Linked DNA regions of Xenopus tropicalis. The protein of the gene in region 1 interacts with the protein of each later gene in a pairwise test. Links are inferred from orthologs where the notes say so. Each region holds a gene or a part of one and is shown in the gene's direction. Other genes may lie near its edges.

What was found.
Region 2: the proteins of wdyhv1 (region 1) and c1orf50 interact in binary tests that used the Homo sapiens proteins (3 or more experiments, as listed by UniProt). The two-hybrid records come from large-scale screens. The link is inferred for Xenopus tropicalis from reciprocal best matches to the Homo sapiens genes NTAQ1 and C1orf50.
Region 3: the proteins of wdyhv1 (region 1) and jup interact in binary tests that used the Homo sapiens proteins (3 or more experiments, as listed by UniProt). The two-hybrid records come from large-scale screens. The link is inferred for Xenopus tropicalis from reciprocal best matches to the Homo sapiens genes NTAQ1 and JUP.
Region 4: the proteins of wdyhv1 (region 1) and lztfl1 interact in binary tests that used the Homo sapiens proteins (3 or more experiments, as listed by UniProt). The two-hybrid records come from large-scale screens. The link is inferred for Xenopus tropicalis from reciprocal best matches to the Homo sapiens genes NTAQ1 and LZTFL1.

What each region holds. Positions count from the first base shown.
Region 1 is NC_030682.2:139,837,040-139,841,963, forward strand, and holds the end of wdyhv1 (protein N-terminal glutamine amidohydrolase), read left to right. Parts: intron 1-2,066; coding exon 2,067-2,176; 3' UTR 2,177-3,435; downstream 3,436-4,924. UniProt on the Homo sapiens protein: Mediates the side-chain deamidation of N-terminal glutamine residues to glutamate, an important step in N-end rule pathway of protein degradation.
Region 2 is NC_030683.2:94,462,320-94,468,739, reverse strand, and holds the end of c1orf50 (uncharacterized protein C1orf50 homolog), read left to right. Parts: intron 1-616; coding exon 617-732; intron 733-2,099; coding exon 2,100-2,186; intron 2,187-2,815; coding exon 2,816-2,947; intron 2,948-4,290; coding exon 4,291-4,476; 3' UTR 4,477-5,071; downstream 5,072-6,420.
Region 3 is NC_030686.2:7,397,308-7,403,259, forward strand, and holds part of jup (junction plakoglobin), read left to right. Parts: intron 1-2,891; 5' UTR 2,892-2,898; coding exon 2,899-3,100; intron 3,101-5,952. UniProt on the Homo sapiens protein: Common junctional plaque protein. The membrane-associated plaques are architectural elements in an important strategic position to influence the arrangement and function of both the cytoskeleton and the cells within the tissue.
Region 4 is NC_030682.2:64,733,224-64,739,021, reverse strand, and holds part of lztfl1 (leucine zipper transcription factor-like protein 1), read left to right. Parts: intron 1-2,902; coding exon 2,903-3,079; intron 3,080-3,975; coding exon 3,976-4,079; intron 4,080-5,798. UniProt on the Homo sapiens protein: Regulates ciliary localization of the BBSome complex. Together with the BBSome complex, controls SMO ciliary trafficking and contributes to the sonic hedgehog (SHH) pathway regulation. May play a role in neurite outgrowth. May have tumor suppressor function.

The sequences.
Region 1 (4,924 bases):
AGAGTATTATTATTATTAACATTCATTTATAAAGCACCAACATATTCCACAGAGCTGTACAATAAGTGGGTTTCATACATTGGACATACAGAGTAACATATGAACCAATAACCGATACAAGAGGTGAAGAGGACCCTGCCCAAAAGAGCTTATGGCACAAGGGAGGCAGAGTGCTGTCTGTGTGCCATACTCTGCCTGCCCTATGCTGCCTGTGAAAGGTGAACCTGGCAGGGGTTTGTTCTGGGAGTTTGTTAGTAGTTGGAAACAGCCATTAAATGGTCCCTAAGGTGTGTAATTATGTTGCTGAGGGTTGCTGTGCTATCCACAGGGGAGGAGGAGGCATATGGATTTAAGGGTGTGTCTTAATATGACATAATATAATTCTTTCATATATGAATAACTGGTGATATCCCTGGAGTGAGGACCAAACATTTGGGTTTTTGCTGCACTACCACCATTGTGATAAAATGGGTGTGGCTCGAAGTGGGTGTGGTTCAAAAAAGGGGGAGTGGCCAACACTGGCTTCAATTAGCGGCCCTCCACCATGTATGCTAGAGAAATTCCGGCCCTCGGCACCGCAGAAGTTGGACAGCACTGATCCAAACGATTACAGACACTTTATCAAGTAACTCTGCATCATTACAACTCTACCTCCTTAAGCTCCTATTCACCATTGAAAACAGTTACAACTGTCCAGCCTTTTGTTTAGAACTAAGAACTTGGATACCTCATATCAGCCTATTTGCTCTACTCTGGGCTCTTTTATTTTGAGCAATGTCTCTTTTAAAGGAACAGTAACACCAAAAAATGAAAGTGTATAAAAGTAACTAAAATATAATGTGCTGCTGCCCTGCACTGGTAAAAGTTGTGTGTTTACTTCAAAAAGTCTACTATAATTTATATAAATAAGCTGCTGTGTAGCCATGGAGGCAGCCATTCAAAGGAGAAAAGGCACAGGCACATAGCAGATAACAGAGAAAACACTATTGTATTCTACAGAGCTTATCTGTTATCTGCTATGTAACCTGTGCCTTTTCTCCTTTTTTCCAGCTTGAATGGCTGCCCCCATGGCTACACAGCAGCTTATTATATAAATTATAGTAGTGTTACTGTAGCAAACACACCAGTTTTACCAGTGCAGGGCAACAGTGCATTATATTTTTATTACTTTAAAGCTCTTTCATTTTTTGGTGTTACTGTTCCTTTAAGTATTGCAGACCAAACCGTCACTGCAGTTGCTTGATGGGACATTACCAGTTCTCTGTAAAGGGGGAGAATCACCCTCTCTTCCATGAACCCTAAGAACCTCTGTAAATTTATACTCATAAAATACGGGACAGTACGTTGCTGACCCTTTCTGCTTCTGATTGGCTTTACTTCCTACAGCTAAAGTTATTATCCACAAGTAATCTGACCTTCTCTATAAGTGACTAAAGGTCACTTCAGACAGCATATCTGCCCGTGTATGTGCCTGCCTATGGGATGACTGGCAGGCCACAAGTATCCAAACCCTATCATGTTATAATTTCCCTTTAAGAACACAGATTGGGGTATGGCCTAGCAGTTGGGTAGGTGCTTCACAACATAACAGGCATCATCAGCAAAACTGGTCTAAAAAAATCTTACTCTCCATTGGACTCCGCCACTTGGGGTTTAGCAGGGATAGCTCTCTAGGTTTTTTCAAAGCCAGCACAGAGAGTTATCAGTCAGCTGTAGCCTATACAATAAAACCCCCATTTTACATTTTAGGGAACCAGTAAAAATTGGTGTAAAAACCAGAAAATATAAAATCGGGAGAAATTAATTATATATTGGTGGGACGTACTTCCCCCAAAGTGATTGTGAATAGTATATTTTCCTTCTGCTTTTTATTTCTACTGATAATTATTAGCCGTGCCATTGTCTCTCAGGCTAGCCACCGCCTTTATTATTAATTCTCGTCACCTTCCTACAGTGTTACAATCTTAGATTAAAGTGACCTTTCAAGATACAGCATTTTAGTGTAGCACATATGTGTTCTTCCAGTTTAATTAGATTTCCATTCCCTTAATTGTTTTTCTTTCTAGAATCCACAATGAACTTGGGCGATTTTATCAGCATGAACCCTGAGGTTGGATGGGGCACAGTATATTCCTTGGCAGAGTTTACAGAACGCTTTGGTGACGCAACAGTCTGATTCACAAATCATTGAAAGGTTTTGTGAAAGCAGCAATGCCCACTGTGGCTGAGGAAGTAAGAAGCCATTGTTCTTAAAGTTTCCAGTCCACATGATTAATTCATCTCTCCGAGTGTTCCAGGAGTTGCACTTGGGTGTCAAATTCAGATAAAATGAATTTAATCCCTGTGCCTGCCGGATTAAGCAGTTCCATCTGAAAGCTCTACTTTATATACAATGTTTTTCACCAGCGCTGGCAGTAATTGGTACTTTAAGGGCAACTATACCTTCAAATATTGCAGCAATTACGGCAATACATAACGGTGGCATATTTTTTATGGTATGTTTCTGCTGGCTATAGAAAAACATAGGGGACAGTCTTGCAGAATTGTGTAGGGATATCTATTCTGCCACAGTTATACGCTGTCTCTGTGAAGCTTAGGAGGCTGTTCCTGCTGAATTGTAGGGCACTAATTGCCAGAAAAAATTCAGATACATTTCAGGCTGCCACAAGCCTTTTATCTACCTTGATTAGTGCTGTACAGCACTGCAGCAATACAACATTGACTGAAAATAGGTGTCTTGGTATGTGCTCCTTATTGGCTGAAATAATTTGGACTGGTTACTGAAATGAAGTTAATGAAGGGGAGCAACCATGACTGCATACTTTTATATAATGTCACAGCAATATTTGGGTTGTGGTCAGTCCATTTACAACTGACCATGACCCAGTAACGGTATACCGCGCTCCTGATCTGTCAGACCACATCCCGTTCTGTCCTTTCGTTTGGGATTATAATATAAATTAAGACGGCTGTAGTGAAATATTGTGGCAAGCCAGCCTGAATAGAAGATGTGGCTATAATGGGAAGAGGAAACACGAATAGCTTCAAAGTGACGCAAATAAAATCAACATATATCCTAATATCCAAGAATTTAATATCCTAACCGGAAGAAATATAGCAAAAATTGTCTAGCAGAGCTCCTGGATCTGTTTGCAAAAACAAAATTCTTGTCCCCATTCAGTCACCATGATGGCTTAGTTTATAGGGTTAATATGCAGTGACAAGGGTCAGGATTGCTCTGAATGAAACCGTATTCATTTGCCCATGTTCTTAAGAAAAGTCTGTTATACAGTAAGTGAAATAAATAAGCACAATAAAAGATGTCCTATATGAAAGTAAAAAAACACACAAGTGAAGCTCAATTTTATTGCTTTATTGATTTAGATGTATGGCGAGTACCATATGCCAAGAGAATTATACTGATTTACAAATACATATTGCCACGTTTTTATTCTTTGGGTTATTGGGTACATTTGAAGTGTAAGAAATATGGTAACTGATCTCATAGGTTTGCACAAATCTGACATTTCTCCACTTGAGGTTTGAGAAGAACAGCGGCTGCCACTTTGAGTCTTCAAAATGTTTTTGGAAGAGAAAGAGATTTTGTTGCAGCGCTTCATTGTGTAAGAGCTGGGAGACCCTGGGGATGGAGAGTAGAACCTTTTGCACAACATATTGGAAAATGGATGGAAGGCTCAGTGACAGATGGAACACTAACCAGAAATAGGGCTCAGAAAAGAATATTTTTATCATTAGATTACTGTTAAGGGTTCGTTTATGCATAACTCATTTTTATTGCCATTTTTATCAGACATCAGGATTCCCATACTACATGTTTTACACAAATCTCTGGAGCGTATTTAGCAAAACGAGAGTGAAAACATGCCCCAGATTTCTCCAAAATCCTTCAGCCCTCCATCTGAGCATATAGTCCTATAATTATCTTGGGCGCATTTTTCTGGAAATAACTGAAACAATGATTGTGCCACCTGTAAGCAGAGAGTGGCCCCTCAGTGTATGTAACTGGTGGGGCTGTAGGGGAATCATTGGTGATGGGCGTTCACTGTAGGTACCTACAGAAGCCAGAGAGGCGTTTTCTTGTCCCTAGTTAGGACTGTCTGTGGATAAATACAGGTATGGGATCTATTATCCAGAATGCTTGGGACTTGGGATTTTCCGGATAAGGGTTTTTTCCATAATCTGGATCACCGTTCACAAGTCTACTAAAAAATAATATTAACATTAAATTACCCCAATAGGATTGTTTTGCCTCCAATAAGGGGTAATTATATCTTAGTTGGGATCAAGTACAGGTACTGTTTTATTATTACAGAGAAAAGGGAGTCATTTAACCATGAAATAAACCCAATAGGGCTGTTCTGCCCCAATAAGGGGTAATTATATCTTAGTTGGGATCAAGTACAGGTACTGTTTTATTATTACAGAGAAAAGGGAATCATTTAACCATTAAATAAACCCAATAGGGCTGTTCTGCCCCCAATAAGGGGTAATTATATCTTAGTTGGGATCAAGTACAGGTACTGTTTTATTATTACAGAGAAAAGGGAATCATTTAACCATTAAATAAACCCAATAGGGCTGTTCTGCCCCCAATAAGGGGTAATTATATCTTAGTTGGGATCAAGTACAGGTACTGTTTTATTATTACAGAGAAAGTGGAATCATTTAAAAAAAAAAAAAAAATTATTTGCTGAAAATTGAATCTATTAGTACATTAATCAATGGACCTCTTTATATGAACCTGTTATTACAGAGTAACATCAGCTGTTGCACACACAAGGGGAGGCTTGTGTTCATGGGGGCCCCATATGAATAACTTGTATGGAGCCCCAAAGTTTCTGATGGCGGCACTTTATGCACCAGTATGGGGTACTTTAAGTCTCAGCTCCACATTGCCATGCTC
Region 2 (6,420 bases), on another chromosome or scaffold:
GGATTACCCAGTTCGATGATTGACAAAGCCCCTTCTAGGACTTGGTGAAACTAAATTTTGTTTCATTCATAACTAACTCAATTGCAAACACTAAGATCAATCATTTGTTTAACAGCAAGTAGCTGTTCTTAGATAATTAATAACCTTTGTAATACAGATAACAGGTGTATTACATACCTTCTGTGCCTTCACATTAAGGGGCTGATTTACTTACCCACGAACGGGTCGAATGGAGTCCGATTGCGTTTTTTTCGTAATGATCGTAATGATTAAGTTTTAACGCTACGAAAAATGCGCAACTTTTCGCGTAAGTTTTAACGCTACGAAAAATGCGCAACTTTTTACGCAACTTTCGTAATGGATACGAAAAACTCGCGTTTTTACGCAAAAATCGTATTGGTAACGAAAAATTCGTACAGAATCCGAAAAAATCGCAAAACATACGAAAAAGTCGCAAAATGTTCGTTTTCAAGTCGGAACTTTTCCAATTCGGGTCGGATTCGTGGGTTAGTAAATCAGCCCCAAAGTGTTGAGCATTAGGAAACAAAATGATCGTGCACTTCTACATTTTGGTGTGTTGATTTCAGTTAAAATCATTTTATATTTTGTCTTTCAGTGGCTCTAGTAGAAAGTAACGCTAATCCTACGGGGGTTCAGTTAGTTAGCACTTATCAAACCAATCGCATTGGAGACCCCTCTAACCTTGTGGATCTTGCGCGGCAAGTGCAAAAGGTAAGGGCTAATAAGGTTTTGGATGTTTTTTGGCAAGAAACTTTAAGAAATATATATAATAATAGATAAAGCTCCATTATATTCTAAAGAGTTTATCTGCTATGTAACCTGTGCCTTTTCTCCTTTTTTTCCATCTTGAATGGCTGCCCCCATGGCTACACAGCAGCTTATATAAACTATAGTAGTCTTTCTGTAGCAAACACACCAGCTGTAACAGTGCAGGGCAACAGTACATTATACTGTAATTACTTTTAAGCATTTCCATTTTTGGGGCTACTGTTCCTTTAAAGGACTATCCAGAAGAGCAACTAGGCAATCTCTCCAAATCTCACCCTAACTTTGTTATATATGGAATGTTGCCCTTCCCAGCCACTTTTCTGGGTTTGCCTAGGAGAGTAATCCCACAGTTAAGGAACCACTTATTTTAGAACTAAAGTGCCTCCTTGTTGGATTAAGGTACTTATAAAAAAAAGCATTTATCCTTTTGGAGGTTTTCACATTTTATCGTCATCGAACATGGAATCACAGGGGATTCAATTTTGTTTATTTAATTGATTACTTAATTATACACCCCCTTAATATGACACAGTGGCTAATGTCCTGGAATGGCTAGGAAGGGAGTCCAGATCTTAGTCCAATAGAGAATGAATGGCTGGATATGGGAAAAGGCTCTTCACTAAATACTGACTAAAAGAGGGTGTATGCTTATATAATCTTGTGTTTTTTTTCATTGCAATTAATTTAATCTTTTGTCTATTTCTCTTGATCACTGCAAAAAAAAATAAATGCTGGAATACTTGGGACCTGGGTTTTTATTTTTTTTTTGCTGATAATGGATGTTTCTGTAATTTAGATCAGATCTCCTAAACAAACCTATTAGGACTGTTTTGCCACCAATATGGATTCACACAGCTAGTTACCATCAAGTACAATGTACTGTTTTATTATTACAGAGAAAAAGGAAATCATTTATAAAAAAAAATTGGAATTACAGGTATGGTATTGGTTTTCCACAAACCTGTTATTCAGAAAGTTCCAAATTACAGGAAGGCCATCTCCCATAGACTTTAATTTACTGAAATAATTCATTTTTGAAAAACATGCTTTCCTTTTTCTCTGTAATAATAAGAGTATCTTGTACTTGATCACAACTAAAATATAATTAATCCAAATTGGGGGCAAAACAATCCTACTGGGATTAAAATATATAATTTTTTTCAAATTAGATTTAAGGTATGGTGATCAGATTTCTGAAAAGACCCCTTATCTGGAAAACCCCCAAAAGAAAGTAATGCAAAGCAAATGAGACAACCAGTTGTGTATTGCAGAGTGTATATATTCATGTTTATACTGTATTTCATCAACAGGCTGATGAATTTGTCAGAGCCAATGCATGTAACAGATTGACTGTTATAGCTGAGCAGATCCGCATGCTGCAGGAACAAGCTAGAAGGGTAAATATTCAACTGTGTTTAAATTGAGTTTCATTATTGTAAAGTAAAATACAATTAAGCTACAAAGTTAATAGCTTTTCTCAGTATGTAAAACATAAAAAAACATAAAATACTTGATTGAGGGTTTATTTGCACTGGAGAACATGAGGACTGATTACATTACATTCCCATGGTGAATAGTTATACATGCATAGATATATGGTGAAAATATATAAAATTGAAAAAAGTACGCAATGAGAAAATAGAATAAAGGGAAGTAAGCAGAAATAATAAGCAGCATTATTTTTTTTTTTATCTTAAAAGGAGCTTTTCTTGTCCTTTAAACAACTAGGTATTTGGTGTAGCAAATATATTTCCTGGCTTACCTGCTGTTCTGTTTAGTATTCTAGTGACAGTGACCTCCTCACTGTAATTTAGACACCCTTTATTGGTAGTTGCCTCAGTATGATCATGCAGGAAGTCTGCTGCTCAACTTATGTTGCTTTAGTGTGAATTGTGGGAAGGGACCAACATTTTAAATTAGTAGCTGTGTGCTCAGCTTTCCTTTTTGTATTGTGAATTTACAGTTGTAGATGGATAAAACCTTTTACTAGAACCAGATGAGTACTAATTTTATTCACTCGATGTAGGTGCTGGAGGAAGCCAAGAGAGATGCTGATTTGCACCACGCAGCTTGCAATGTTGTCAAAAAGCCAGGAAATATTTATTATCTCTACCAGCGGGAAAGTGGACAGAGATATTTCTCAATTCTGTCACCAAAGGTAAGAGAATCCTGCACCTGTTGTGTCACTGACTGTACAATGATAAGACTCATGGATGGGATCTCAGATCTTTTTTATCTGTGGGAAGAACTATTGTTTCATTTCTACTTTGGCATCAGAACTGTGGCTATTTTAGCTTCCCAGTCAGCTGGTTCATCTGCTGCTGATAGTTTAAAGGTTAAGTTGAGGGTCACATAGGGCCACATACATGGAATAATGATCAGTCAGTCTATCGAATAATTCCTTTGTATGTGGACAAATTTAGTCTTTTGTACCTATAATTTCACTACAAAAGCAGTCATTTTTTGAATGGACAATTAGTTATCTGCTATGTAAGATAAACATTTGAGGCTTAGATTCATTGATTGTTTTGTGATAGAAAAAAATACCTATCTGGCAGTAAGCATCAGCATTTGTTACCATGGTGTAAAGTGTTAGTGTGCTAGTCAGCCATAACCCAGTAACCACAGGGCTCATTGCAGGTCTTCTTGCCATACCTGCCAAGGCTACAGTTTTACAGGGTAGCTTTTCCCTAGTGGGTAAAGCAACATTATCGACAAAGATATTATTTTACTAAAATAATAACTTAGAACTTTTCTATCACATTTCCTAGCATATATTCATATTTATTCAAACACACAAAGCGGTTTTATATTAATATTTTCTAGTACACACTAATATATGGTTTATTGAATACTGATTCTAGCTGAGCCTTGCTTTGAACAACGGCACCAGGGGAGATTCCCAGTGTTTTGATAGCCGCATGATTTCCTGCTTGGCAGGTAGCAAACCAAGGGAATTGCTCATCCTCTGACTTACTGTATATACTCGAGTATAAGCCTAGTTTTTCAGCACCCAAAATGTCCTGAAAAAGTCACCCTCGGCTTATACTTGAGTTGGGTGCCATGGGTCCCTCTAGACTAGCACCCTCTCTCCTTTGTGTGCAAATTAGGCCACCCGCAACCAGATCCTCCAGTGCCTATTGTTTTTGTTGACCCTCTTCTCCACTTACAGAGCTAATTTACTGTTTTTCTTTGAAATAAATATTTAACATATACCCCACTGATGCCTCAATTAATGTAATTTTATTGGTATTTATTTTGATTACTGAAACATAGCAGAAGCTGCTGCATTTCTCACCCTAGGCTTATACTCGAGTCAATAAGTTTTTACAGTTTTCTTAGGTAAAATTAGGTACCTCGGCTTATATTCGGATCGGCTTATACTCGAGTATATATACGGTATCTTTTGTACCTGCCAGTGTACTCAGAGGTCAAGTGATTATTACGCAAACACACTTCAGGTTTCTTACAAATATTTTTTCTTTCCCTTTTCTCTATTAGGAGTGGGGCCCTAGTTGCCCACATGAATTCCTTGCTGCTTACAAGCTTCAGCATGACATGTCCTGGACACCATTTGAAAACATAGAAAAAAGAGATGCAGAAATCAGCATTATTGATAAACTATTGAATGAACAAGTGGCACTTCCATCATGCAAAGAACCCAACTTTAGAGGATTAACAAATTAAATATATCTGTGATACCTGGGTAACTGAAGCCTTATCACCTCTAATGTGAATTTGTGGCATTGTCTGTGATCTGTCTGCAAATCGGGGATGTCACCAACAACTGTTTATCACTTCCTTTCTCACTTGTTGGTCACCTTTGCGCACTGAGAGTCTTTCCTGCCAAGAGAATTGGTTTTAAGTTTATTTTTACTTAGCTCAGTTTTTTTTATACTCGTACAAACTGAGATTTTTTTTAAGCCATCTTTTGTTAGCAGAAAGTTTCCACCCTCAAAATATATATTTTTTTTTTATTGTCATTGTTTGGCAAAATGCCCTGATAATAAAGACTTACAGTAGAAGTGCAGCCAGGTAACCATACATTATGATGGGTTTTATTGTTGGGAATATTGTCCAAATGGAGGATACAGAATGTAGCTGAATCCAAAAATTATGCATTTGAACAAGAAGGCGTTGGTCTGGTTTATTGATATCGATGGTATTTGCTATTTGCCTTAAACTTGTTAAAGTGCCCCACACAACACAAACTCCTAATATACCTATTACTGTAATCTGTTCCTTCTAAACATATTAATAAATACCATTTTCATATGCTGAATTTCATCTACAAAACAGCTCTTTCTGCTGCATTTGAAATCCTGGCAGGGGAGGAGGCACTAAACCACTGATGTTACAAATTGTAAGAACTTCTCCACAGTTTACATTGAAGGTGTAAGTGCTTTTAGAGGGTCCATTGCTAGTCCTCTCACCATACATGGTGTTACTGTGTAACTTTCATATGGTGGGTAAAGGAATAATATCATCAAAATAAATAAGGCTGATGGCCCACGGAGCAAGTTAGTCACCCGCGATAGATCTCTGCTACCAAAGGCGACTAACCGCTCCAAAATGCCTTTCCACCGGCAACAATAGGAGTCAGCAGTGGAAAGGCCTATGCATCACTTTTGCTTTCTGAAGTTGCCTGCAGGAGGAAACTGCGAGACTTCAGGTAGCCGAAGCAAAGTGTTGGCCTTTCCACCAGTGAGTCCTATTATTGCCGGTAGAAAGGCATTTCAGAGTGGTTAGTCACCCGCAGAGCAGAGATCTAATGTGGCCAACTAAACCGTTGTTATATTTTGTGGGACACACTAGCATCGTTTTTCAAAGTAAGTTCCCAGCTTGGCAGAGGGGCAGCAAAACAATTTGTCCTTCATTGAGTTTAAAGGGAATTACCTTTACCCTTCTAATGCACTTGTAGGTCAGGCAGTTACTCACTGTTCCTTGCTAATAAATATTTTTTCCTCCACTTAGGAGTTGGGAGTTTCCCAACATTAATTTAGTGATAATCAAGACCATTTTTGAAAACACACACAAAAAAAATTCAGAAATCATTACTGATAAACTACTGAAGTTGCACTTTTATCATGCAAAGAACCTAGTTTTAGAGGAATAAGGAAAAAAAAAATCTCAGTGACACACAGGGTTGGTAGCCCGATCACCCTTGTCATGTGAACTTTGTGATCTGCCTGCTAGTCCAGGAAGCCACTAAGAACCTCAAACTATTCACCATTTCCTTTCTTGCTCACTGTTTGCCACTGCGAGAACTGAGTCTTTCCTGCCAAGAGAATCAAATTTAACTGTTTGTATTGCAGTGCCTGGCCCCCTTCAGTTTAATTTTCAGAGCATTGCCGTTTGCTTTGCAGTGTTAAGTGTCTCAAGTACAAACAAGGATTAGAAGAGAAAAAAAAGTTTCCCTTGTGAGCAGAAAGTTTCCTATTTAAAGTGAATAAGGATAAGGCATTTGTTATAAAATGGAAAGTGGCTGTGTTTCTTGTTAGTAGTAACAGAAATTATAAAACATTTGTGACATCAGTTCTTAACTATGCAGAGAATGTAGGATTTTCCTAACTTTAGCACAAGCTCGTTTTGCTTCCCATGTAAATCAAGGTAATTGCTTAGTGACTTCCT
Region 3 (5,952 bases), on another chromosome or scaffold:
AATTCTAATTTTTAAAAATGATTCCCTTTTCTCTGTAATAATAAAACAGTACCTGTACTTGATCCCAACTAAGATATAATTACCCCTTATTGGGGCAGAACAGCCCTATTGGGTTTATTTCATGGTTAAATGATTCCCTTTTCTCTGTAATAATAAAACAGTACCTGTACTTGATCCCAACTAAGATATAATTACCCCTTATTGGGGGCAGAACAGCCCTATTGGGTTTATTTAATGGTTAAATGATTCCCTTTTCTCTGTAATAATAAAACAGTACCTGTACTTGATCCCAACTAAGATATAATTACCCCTTATTGGGGCAGAACAGCCCTATTGGGTTTATTTCATGGTTAAATGATTCCCTTTTCTCTGTAATAATAAAACAGTACCTGTACTTGATCCCAACTAAGATATAATTACCCCTTATTGGGGGCAGAACAGTCCTATTGGATTTATTTTATGTTTAATTTTTTTAGAAGACTTAAGGTATGGGGATCCAAATTACAGAAAGATTCCTGATCTGGAAAACCTCCGGTCCAGAGCATTCTGGACAAGGTACTGTTTTTTAGTCAGGTCTGGACTAGGATACAAAATATGCCCTGGCAGAAGCTCAAAGAGCCCCCAGCCCAATAAATAGTGACTGTCTATGGCATCTTACAGCCCCCCTGTTATCAGCAGAACCCAGAGGCACAAACAGCCCCCCCCAGCCGCCCAATAAATAGTGACTCCCTATGGCATCTGACAGCAGCCCCTCTGGCATTTACCAGAACATACAGATTGCCAGTCCGGGCCTGTATTTATCATTACAGAGAAAAAGGAAATCAGTCTCAAAAATCTGAATTATTTGCTTATAATGGAGTCGGTGGGAGGTGGCCATCCCGTAATTTTAAGCTTTTTGGATAACTGGTTTCCAGATAACTGATCCCATACCTGTAATTGGAATTTACTGCTCAAATACTAATTCATATATTCTATAGAATACTCCCACCCCCACACTTACTACAGACAGATAGGGCTTATTTTCCATTTATAGCCGCGGTCACTTATATATCGAATCCCTGCTTGTTTGGCATCCACGGGGGCAGTATCAGAGCAATATTCATGGGTAACGAATGTCATCTGCGCTCTGAGCTGTGTGTTTCATTTCTTATTATTCCGCTGTACGGCGCTGCATACATAAGTAGCGCTAAATAAATACATTTACATACATGGCTGATTAGTACAATTGTCTTACAAGAAAATTTGTAGCAAATGAACTGTAAAATGAGCCATCATAATAACTGCCTGTGGCAAACCGTCACGGAATGTAAATCATCCGCAAATATCACTGGCAGGCTTGATTCCGCTCTTCTCTTCTTGCATTTCTTGTGCATCGTATTACAGGTATGGGACCTGTTATCCAGAATGCTCAGGACCTGGGGTTTTCTGGATAAGGGATCTTTCCATAATTTGGATCTCCATAACTTAAGTCTGCTAAAAATAATTAAAATATTAAATAAACCCAATAGGATTGTTTTACCTCCAGTAAGGGGTAATTATATCATAGTTGGGATCAAGTACAGGTACTGTTTTATTATTACAGAGAAAAGGGAATCATTTAACCATTAAATAAACCCAATAGGGCTGTTCTGCCCCAATAAGGGGTAATTATATCTTAGTTGGGATCAAGTACAGGTACTGTTTTATTATTACAGAGAAAAGGGAATCATTTAACCATTAAAAAACCCAATAGGGCTGTTCTGCCCCAATAAGGGGTAATTATATCTTAGTTGGGATCAAGTACAGGTACTGTTTTATTATTACAGAGAAAAGGGAATCATTTAACCATGAAATAAACCCAATAGGGCTGTTCTGCCCCAATAAGGGGTAATTATATCTTAGTTGGGATCAAGTACAGGTACTGTTTTATTATTACAGAGAAAAGGGAATCATTTAACCATGAAATAAACCCAATAGGGCTGTTCTGCCCCAATAAGGGGTAATTATATCTTAGTTGGGATCAAGTACAAGATTCCGTTTTATTATTACAGAGAAAAAGAAAACCCATTTTATAAAATTGAAATTATTTGCTTATAATGGAGTCTATGGGAGATGGCCTTTCCGTAATTTGGAACTCTCTGCATAATGGGTTTCCGGATAATGGATCCCATACCTGCAATGAGATTTTTTACTGCAGTAAGGCACTGTATTAGGCTGATTGTGATAGGTCATTATTGCATTGTCATTGGGCAGTTTATAAGGCCCATTATTGGTTTATAGGGGGGCGCTTTGTATTTAGGTGCTGCATCACCCAGGGGAGAGGAGATAACCCACCGGGCAATAAAGCACCCCGTGTAACAGCACCTTACCAAAGGTGTAGGAGAGGCAGACGTATATTAAAAGAGATGCACTATTAAAGGGGTGGTTCAACTTTTACGTTAAATCTTAATATGTTATATAAAGGCCTTTTCCTAGTAACTGGTTTCTATTATTGTTTGTTTTTAATTATTTGCCTTCCTCTTCTGCCTCTTTCCAAATGGGGGTCACTGACCCCTGAAGCCAAAAAACTATTGCTCTGTGAGGCTACAATTTTATTGCTATCGATACTTTTAATTCCTCATCTTCCTATTTAGACCCTCTTCTATTCATATTCCAGTCTCTCATTCAAACCACTAACTATCTGGTTACTGGGTAAATAAGACAGCAGCTGAATTTCCAAACCAGAGACCCGCTAAACAAAATTCTAAATAACTGAAAAACCACAAAAAAAATAAAAAATGAGGACCAATTGCAAATTGTCCATGTCTGTATCACACTTAAAGTTCATGCCTGATTTGTTGTGGGAAAGAATGAAATGGTGATAGCTAATCCTTCAGTAGTTCGCTAATCCCTACTCAATGTTCTTTCCACAGAAGTAGAATGGATTTGGTGGATGTAGTGGAAGTGCCAATAAAAGTCACAGAGTGGCAGAAAACCTACACTTACGACTCGGGCATCAATTCTGGAATAAACACAGCGTCTCCATCGTTAAACGGGAAAATGGTCATCGAGGACGACAGCCACGCCTACCCCGGCAGTTACACTGTTAAAACCACGACGTACACACAGCAGCAGACCCCAGGTACAGTTTTACAAATGGACAAACGGCTGGGTGTTAGGAGGGTCCATTGACTCCTGGGCCCACCAGGAGTCTCCTTGGTATTCCAGTGGGAAAGTTAAAGGGCATATAAAGCCTACACTTCCCTAACATGTATATAAGTTGAGAACATTTCCCCCCCACCCAAGTGGCATCCTTTGTACTGAATCCCCTCTTTTTGTGCCATTACATTTTCTTTAAACAAAAAGCGTCTTTCACGCAGCAGCCATTTTCCCTCTGACACATCTTCATTTACTGCAAGTTTATGCAATGAAGAATGCAGGCTTACACAGGCAGAACTTACTTCCGCTTGGACTGAGCACTGTATTGGTTAAGCTAAGCTCAAATCAGGAACTTAGAAGAAAAAAAATAGAATCCGACAGCTAGAGCAAAGTTTCTGTGGGAACCAGAGGGTGTGTTTAGCAATCTGAACTGAGCACGCTCAGTAGCCAACAGCCAAAGTAAATTCCTAAGGGAAGGGGCTGAAGGGGTTAAAGGAGGAGAAGGAAACCCAAATGATTAAGGGGATGCTAAGTAAACCTCTTTACTTTCCCCCAACCCAAGTGGCATCCTTTGTACTGAATCCCCTCTCTTTGTGCCATTACATTTTCTTTAAACAAAAAGCAGCATTCACCCAGCGGCCATTTTCCCTCTGCCATGTCTTCATTTACTGCAAATTTATGCAGTGAAGAATGCAGGCTTACACAGGCAGAACTTACTTCCACTTGGACTGAGCACTGTATTGTATGTATGTATGTATGTATGTATGTATATGTATGTATGACTTTATTTATAAAGCGCCACAAGGGTGCGCAGCGCTGTACAATCTTAGAATACAAAATTACACACAGGGAGGACAAGTGATACAATAAATAAATACAATAAATATATATATAAGTGCCATGTGGTATGAGACACAGTAAGAAGTAGGTCCCTGCCCCGTAGAGCTTACAATCTAAGTGTATGTGTGTGTGTGTGTGTGTATATATATATATATATATATATGTTTAAGCTGAGCTCAGATCAGGAAGTTAGAAGAAAAAAAATAGAATCCGACAGCTAGAGCAAAGTTTCTGTGGGAACCAGAGGGTGTGTTTAGCAATCTGAACTGAGCACGCTCAGTAGCCAACAGCCAAAGTAAATTCCTAAGGGAAGGGGCTGAGTGGGTTAAAGGAGGAGAAGGAAACCCAAATGATTAAGGGGATGCTACAGCTTTACTATTAACCTTTAAACAGCCGGAGTGACAGGTGTTTAAAGATTGCAAAGAGACTGTTCACTACATTTTTGTGTGAGGGGTTTACTTGCCCTTTAAACACTGCTCTGGCATTATAAGGGGCTTTATAAATTCAGTGTTGCTTCACAGCTCTACGGGGGAGTAAACTCTGCCAGTACTTCTAACTATTGTTTGTGTATGTGCACCGATAGCAGATTCGGGCCATGTGAATTTCCAAGAGGAAACTGTAACATTTCCTCCTTGCTTGGCTGGCAGCCCTGGCGTGGCAATGATCCCGTCCTTGGACCAGCGAAGAAAGACTCCATTGTTGCCTCGCGCTTGCATACAGCATATTTAAGCAATCTTCTAAAAAGATGACTTGAGACTAATGAGGGTTTCCCATGATGCTCGCTCCAGGCTTAATGAAGCCAGAGGGTCCCTGTTAGCCCTTTGCTACAAGTGCTTAATGAGTTCTTTTGTATTGCTCTGCTATTCAGTTTCAATCAGCCTTGAAGGAAATGTTTAAGATGTGGTTTCCAGGTGGTATTGAACTTGAACTCCCCACACACTCACTGCCAGCTATTATCCAAGCGACAGATGTATGGATGACGTGGGCCAAATAATCGTCTGCACAAGAGCTGGAAGGTGGCAGTCGGAATGCAAATCAAGTTTGCTTTCTGTTAGACATTAGTGTGCCGGCCGGGTCCCAAAACCTCTTTACTTAGTCCGATGGATTCGATCTGACCCAGCAGGTCTGAACTGAGATGCAAAGTCGGCCCTGGTATTTCAAGTACACAAAGGTCCAAACAGCCGCATATAAAGCGCCAGACTATGGCAGCTCCCAGCCGCCCCTCTGGCATTGGCAGAGATTCCTGACTGTCAGTCTGGGCCTGCTTCCAAGGAGTTATTCTGATGTTTCTCAGGGGAAGCTGTTGTTTGTTTAGAAGTGAGATTGACTGCTATGATGTATGATGGTGAGTTGCTCTGTGCTGGAAAAATAGCTGCGCAATATGGATCTTTTCCCTTCGGTATTGTGCATGCCACTTAGCTGCATGAAATGCCACCTATAATGTATTGGGCCCAGGGATCTCTCTCATTGGATATGTGCAACACGATCACTTGGAATCATGTCCGGCGCCTTGGTGGGAACAGCCTCGTTAGCTGTATCGCCCATACAGTGCAGTGTGCAGCTATGCCAGTCCCACAGAGCAAGTCATTTTTGAATGATCCACAATATAAATGGAACAAAATAATAATGTTAATGTTTCTAATAAAAAATGTTAGACCCCCCCCCCCCAGTCAGAGTCGGACAGGGCTGGCGGGACACTGGGAAATATACTCCTGTCGACCCAGATCCGATCCCAGCTGCCTCCCTCCTCTGAATGATTGCATCTACTTATACATGCTTTAGGGATGGACAGGGCCCCTGTGAGGGGCGTGTACAAGCAGCGGGAGGTGTGTGGGGCCCCTGGGGTGGCAGCCACGGTGGGTCTGCACTTTCCCAGTCCAACCCTGCCCTCAGTGACTGTAATCGCTTACCTGACACGCCCCAGCCTGTGCTCCTGTTAACATTTTGGCACCCCCAAATGATTTAGCCTTTCCTTCTTCTTTAAGGGCAGTTGCT
Region 4 (5,798 bases), about 75 Mb from region 1:
ACTGAATGATTAAAATTTACAAATAATTTCCTTTTTCTCTAATAATGAAACAGAACCTTGTACTTGATCCCAATAAAGATATAATTAATTCTTATTGAAGGCATAACAATCCTATTGGGTTTATTTAATGTTTAAATTATTTTTTAGTAGACATAAGGGGTCTTTCCATAATTTGGATCTTCATACCTTATCTAAAAAACCCTGATCCCAAGCATTCTGGATAAAAGGTCCTAAACCTGTACCATCATTTCTTACTGGAGTTACAAAATAAACCAGCTATGTTCACCAGGGTGAAACTATGTTCTTCACATGCCTATTTTTATTTCTAATGGACTTTCTAAAATTGAAGTCTAGACTTTTAATATTTTATTGATATATTTGTAATATTCCTCTCTGGTGTTTTTAGTCTAGCATCCAAGAAAACTATAAAACACATGTTGGAGAATTTACTAATGTTTGGTGATTAATTTTAATCTGAATAAGGTATTTAATTGATGGATGTCCCTCATTTTTTATGTTTATAAGTAGGTAACAATAATTTTTTACCTTGGTATTCTAATAAAGATGTGCTTTTGAAGGGATTTCCTTCATTAAGTGTAGATCAATTTTTTAGCATTCCAGTAATGCAGGCACACACTCTTAACTGTTACAATTTGCTACATGTGAAACAGCATTCTAGGAGCTAAAGATGGTCACATAATACTTACCGTGCATGAGAAATTATATTCTTACTCCAGCATAGAAGACTTAGGTGTTTTCATGTGCTATTTGCATTATAGAGTGACTTTTACAGTCTGATTATGTACTAATCTGGTCTCTTTGTGTGTCCTGTTACTTGAGTGGCTAAGCAGGAAAACAGAATCACTTTTAAGGCAGTGAAATTCTAAGTGAGATAGTTTTAAACAGAAATTGTGCATGAATTGGTGGACAGTAAGAAATAGTCTAATTGTTGGGGGACAGGGTAAGACATGAAATAAACTAAAGGGACATGACAAAATGGTATATGAACTGGGGAAGAGAGAGTAATAGCATAGGAAAGCAAGGAAAGATATTGACATGCCATACAAGTCTGAGAAGGCTTGCAAAGGTAGTGTTAAATTAAGAGTGAAAAACACACTCAAACCCAGCGCTTCTTGGTGTATAATCCGTATGTGAATTGAATGTTCAAAATGCTGTAGACCGTAGTTACGTGCTGCTTCCTCTTGGTGTCAGCTCCCCTCCTAGATGAGCTTCAGAAAGTGCATATATGTGTTTGATTGGAAGCGCATAAAAATAGAAACAAAAAACAAAAAACAAAATATAGTGCAGATCAATGGGATAATGAAGGATCTTAATCACCACACGTGCTTAATAATGTACTGGTTAAAACGTGTTGACCCAACTCCGTAATAGATGAGATACAATAAATGCTCACCAGAAAAACATGAGCCAAAGCATATAGGTCCAACCCCACGGGGCAGTTGATTGGAGGCAGGTCAGATACCTCAAATATATGTAGAGCAAAAGAGGAGGCGATAATAGTGTAAAACCGTTTAATATAGATATAAAACCCTGCTCAATGCAGGCTACTTACAGTGTAGCAGAGATAAAAAGCAGTGAATAAAAGTCTCGAGTAGCTCAACGCGTTTCGCGTGTTCTCTACACGCTTCCTCAGGAGAAATTGTAAACGGCGGAAAAACCAATCCGATTTTTGCGCGACGGCGATGAAAAAAAAACGCAAAAATACCGATCATTACAGAAAAAACGCATTCGGACGTTCGTGGATTAGTAAATGTGCCCCTATGTGTGACTGGTTTGTGATAAACAATGGCGAAGTTGATTTGATTTTTTTCCGGTGAGATTAGGGACTGATACCCAAAGGTTTCAACAAGCCAGCCCAACCTGATTGGAAATAATAGGTAGATAATCCAGTTACCCTGGCACCTATACGTCTCCCCATCCCTGCATAAAAAAAGAGCCCCAAAGAGAGACTTGGAGTCAGACTTCAGAGAGCTAGAGGAAAGGATTCCTGCACTTTGCATCAACCAGTTCAGTTACTTTTCGGCCATTATTTTCTTCAGACTGTGGATTTACTTCTGTGGGACTTTGGAACTGCCTTTTTGCTCTTTTACATCCTTAGAAGAATTTGTTGCTGTGTGATGTCATTGGACTTTACAAAAATAAAGTGCTAGAATGCTCCAAGGCTTCTCTCCAGTGTTTGAGCATATGGTTGTTAGGTTATTTTCATGACAATATGTTTAAAAATTAAAACTGAAAAACTAAATATTTATATATAATATCTAAAAGCTGTACTTTCCAGATATTATACCATATGCTCTTCTATATGCATATTAAGTTGCTTATTCTGTTAAATTTATAAAACAAAGCACCTTAAAAACACATCCATGCATACATACATACATACATACATACATTTTATATATGAAAGTATATTTGTATTTATATAATGATACTTATGTACATAGCTCTGTACAGTAGAACAATAAATTAATAGAACGAACAGGTCATCTCAATAATAATTATAAAATACAGTTACATTTAAGAGTAAGTACTTAGGGGCCTGTTTACTAAGTTTTAAGATAAATATCACTGGTGATGTTGCAACCAATAAGATCTTTGCTTTTGTTTTCTAACTTCTAGATGACTGTTTAAAACTAATTTCTGATTGATTGCTATGGGCAACATCACTGGTGATATTTTTCTTCAATCTTCATAAATATGCACATAAGTGTCAGAGACAAGAGGAACCCCGTAGAGCTTACAATCTAAATGTGTGTGTATATATACTTTCTTTTATGGGTTGTTTTTTTTTTACCTGTATTGTATTGTACCTTGTATTCTCTACAACTAATATTCTACTTGCATTGTTTTTCATAACTGTGTAATGTTTTATCTTCTTTAGGCAAAACAGAATACTCAGGATATCAATATTTTGGAGAAGACCATGGCAGATCTCAAATGTGATTTTGAGAAAACTGTTAATGACCACACAGTCAGTCAAAAATATTTGGAAGATAATTTAGCTTCTACAAAACATGAACTGCTCAGAGTCCAAGAACAGCTTTCTTCGGCAGAAAAGGTATGTATGCATATCTTTGTAAAGCACTACTTATGTACACTGTACAGTAGAACAATAAATTCATTACAATAATAGATACATACAAGTATGATAATAAATACAAATAAATATGAGGTACAGTTGTAATAAGTTAAGAATCAAAGAGAAAAGAAGATCGAGGTCCCTATCCCATAGAGCAGGGGTCCCCAACCTTTCTTACTCGTGAGCCACAGTCAAATGTAAAAAGACTTGGAGAGCAACACAAGCATCATAAAAATTCATGGAGGATCCAAATAAGGGCTAAGATTGCCTATTAGGTAGCCTCTGTGCACACTATCAGCTTACAGGAGACTTTATTTGGTAGTAAATCTTGTTTTTATCAATCAAAACTTGCCACCAGGAATTCAAAAATAACTACCTGGTTTGGGGGCACTGAGGGCAACACCCAAGGGGTTGATGAGCAACATGTTGCTACGAGCCACTGGTTGGGGATCACTGCAATAGAGCTTACAATCTAAATAGAAGGGTAACTTGCAGACACAAATAGGAGGATAATATTGCTGCAGGTTACAGTGGGCGACACTGCTATATACAGCTAAGGAGACAGTGCTGGAGGGCCACAGGAAGAGAGAGAGAAAAGGGAGCCACACAGTAAAAGATCACTGTCAGGGCATCCACAGATCCTCCGTTGCCACACTTAGAATGTTTTCATGTCCTACTTAACTGAAGCTGAAATATAACAATACTGCATTGTCCTTTGTTTTCAGCATAATAAACATTTTTTAATCTAATCTGATCATCCTCTACTATATGGGTGTCTTCCTTTCATTTCATTGTTTGCTTTTAGCTTTATTTAAGATTTTTCTTTACTGAACTTGCATTGTAACAGGAGTATTCATGGGTTATTTCCCAAACAGGAGTTAGAAAAGAAATTTCAGCAGACTGCTGTTTATCGCAATATGAAAGATATTCTTACAAAGAAGAATGATCAGATCAAGGACTTGCGCAAGAGGCTTCAAAAGTAAGTTTGTTTTTTTATTTACAGAATTTTCCTTTAATTACTTTAGTAATTTAAAGGGGAATTTCATTGCAAAGAATTTGAACATTTTTTTCTTGTGCAATCTGATGTTTACTTGATAACTGTAGTCTGATGCACCTCCCCATGATTCTGATTTCCATATGACTGAACAGACCTTGTTAAAACATATTGAAAAGCGACCAGATGTGCATAACTGGGTGTCAATGTACTATATCAGGTGTGTGGTCTATAGACTCGTGTTTTAAAAAAAAACTTAAGTGTTTGGAGTTATTATTAATCCAGCATTAATATAGATATAAACAACAACCACTATTTGAATATATACTTACTGTAAGCCTAGAGAGCTGATCTGTATTGTCCTAGTAGCAAATATCTAAATAGGGCAGTGGTAAAAAAAAAAGTTGTGCTCAAATAGCTACGGAAGTATATTACAAACATGTAAAGAAAGATACAGTAATATGTGAAAAAATATTATCGATTAGCGAACCTAAACATTTCTTTTTAAAATCCCTAAAAAGACGCTGTGTTTTTAAACACAGAAGCTGAAAAACAGGTCAAATCTGGAAATTCCTTATCTAGCACAAATCTCTACTTCTTTACTATACTGAACTTTCCATCTCATTTAATTAGGAATCCAGTCATAGAGCTGTCTGCTGAGCATGCTTGCTGGCTCCTGCCCCAGTGGAAATCAGACATTCACAGTGGACAGCCCTTTGACCAAATTCCTATTTATACGAGAAAGAAAGCTCAGTATACTAAAGGAATGAAGCTTCAAACTAGATAAGGAAGTTATTGGGTTTTAGTTGCAGTTTTCAGCTTCTATGTTAGAAGCTTCGACAACCTTAATATAGGGAGAGAGATGTCATTTTTATTCTTTATATATTGCAAGATTCAATTCACTTGTACATTTAGACTTTTTTTTGTTTGGTTTTTATTTACAGTTTTTTTGGTGACGTTGTCTCTCTGCCCTTTATTAAATATATATCTGCAATATAAATACCAAACACATTCAAATTTAACTGAGCGGTAGAGCACTGAGTAAAGTTTCTGCTTTAACCAAGTTTCATTTGTTGGAAAGATGACTTGACATATTCATCTCTAATACTCTAGAACAGTGCTGTCCAACTTCTGTGGTACAGAGGGCCGGAATTTTTCCGACCTACCTGGTGGAGGGCCGATAATGGAAGACAGTTTTGACCACTCCCCTTTTTGAAACCGCACCCACTTGAAACCACACCCATGTTATCACATGACCACACCCATATTAATGGTTGTAGTACAGCAAAAACCTGCCATACTCTGCCTTCCCTACCCTGCCTGTGTGTGCGCCATACTCTGCCTTCCCTACCCTGCCTGTGTGTGCCATACTCTGCCTTCCCTACCCTGCCTGTGTGTGCCATACTCTGCCTTCCCTACCCTGCCTGTGTGTGCCATACTCTGCCTTCCCTACCCTGCCTGCATGTGCTATACTTTGACTGTGTGTGCCATTCTTGGCTGGTTTGTGCCATACTTGGCCTGTGTGTGCCATACTCTGCTTGCCCTATGTGTATGGCACACACAGGCAGCATACAGTGACACAATGCTGGCACTGCTCCTACAGTCTGCACAATAACTATATATTAAAAAACTTTTTAATTGCAGTACCACTTCAGTATATGTTCTTTTTGTAGTGTGCAGGGATTATTTGTGAGATTATTTGTG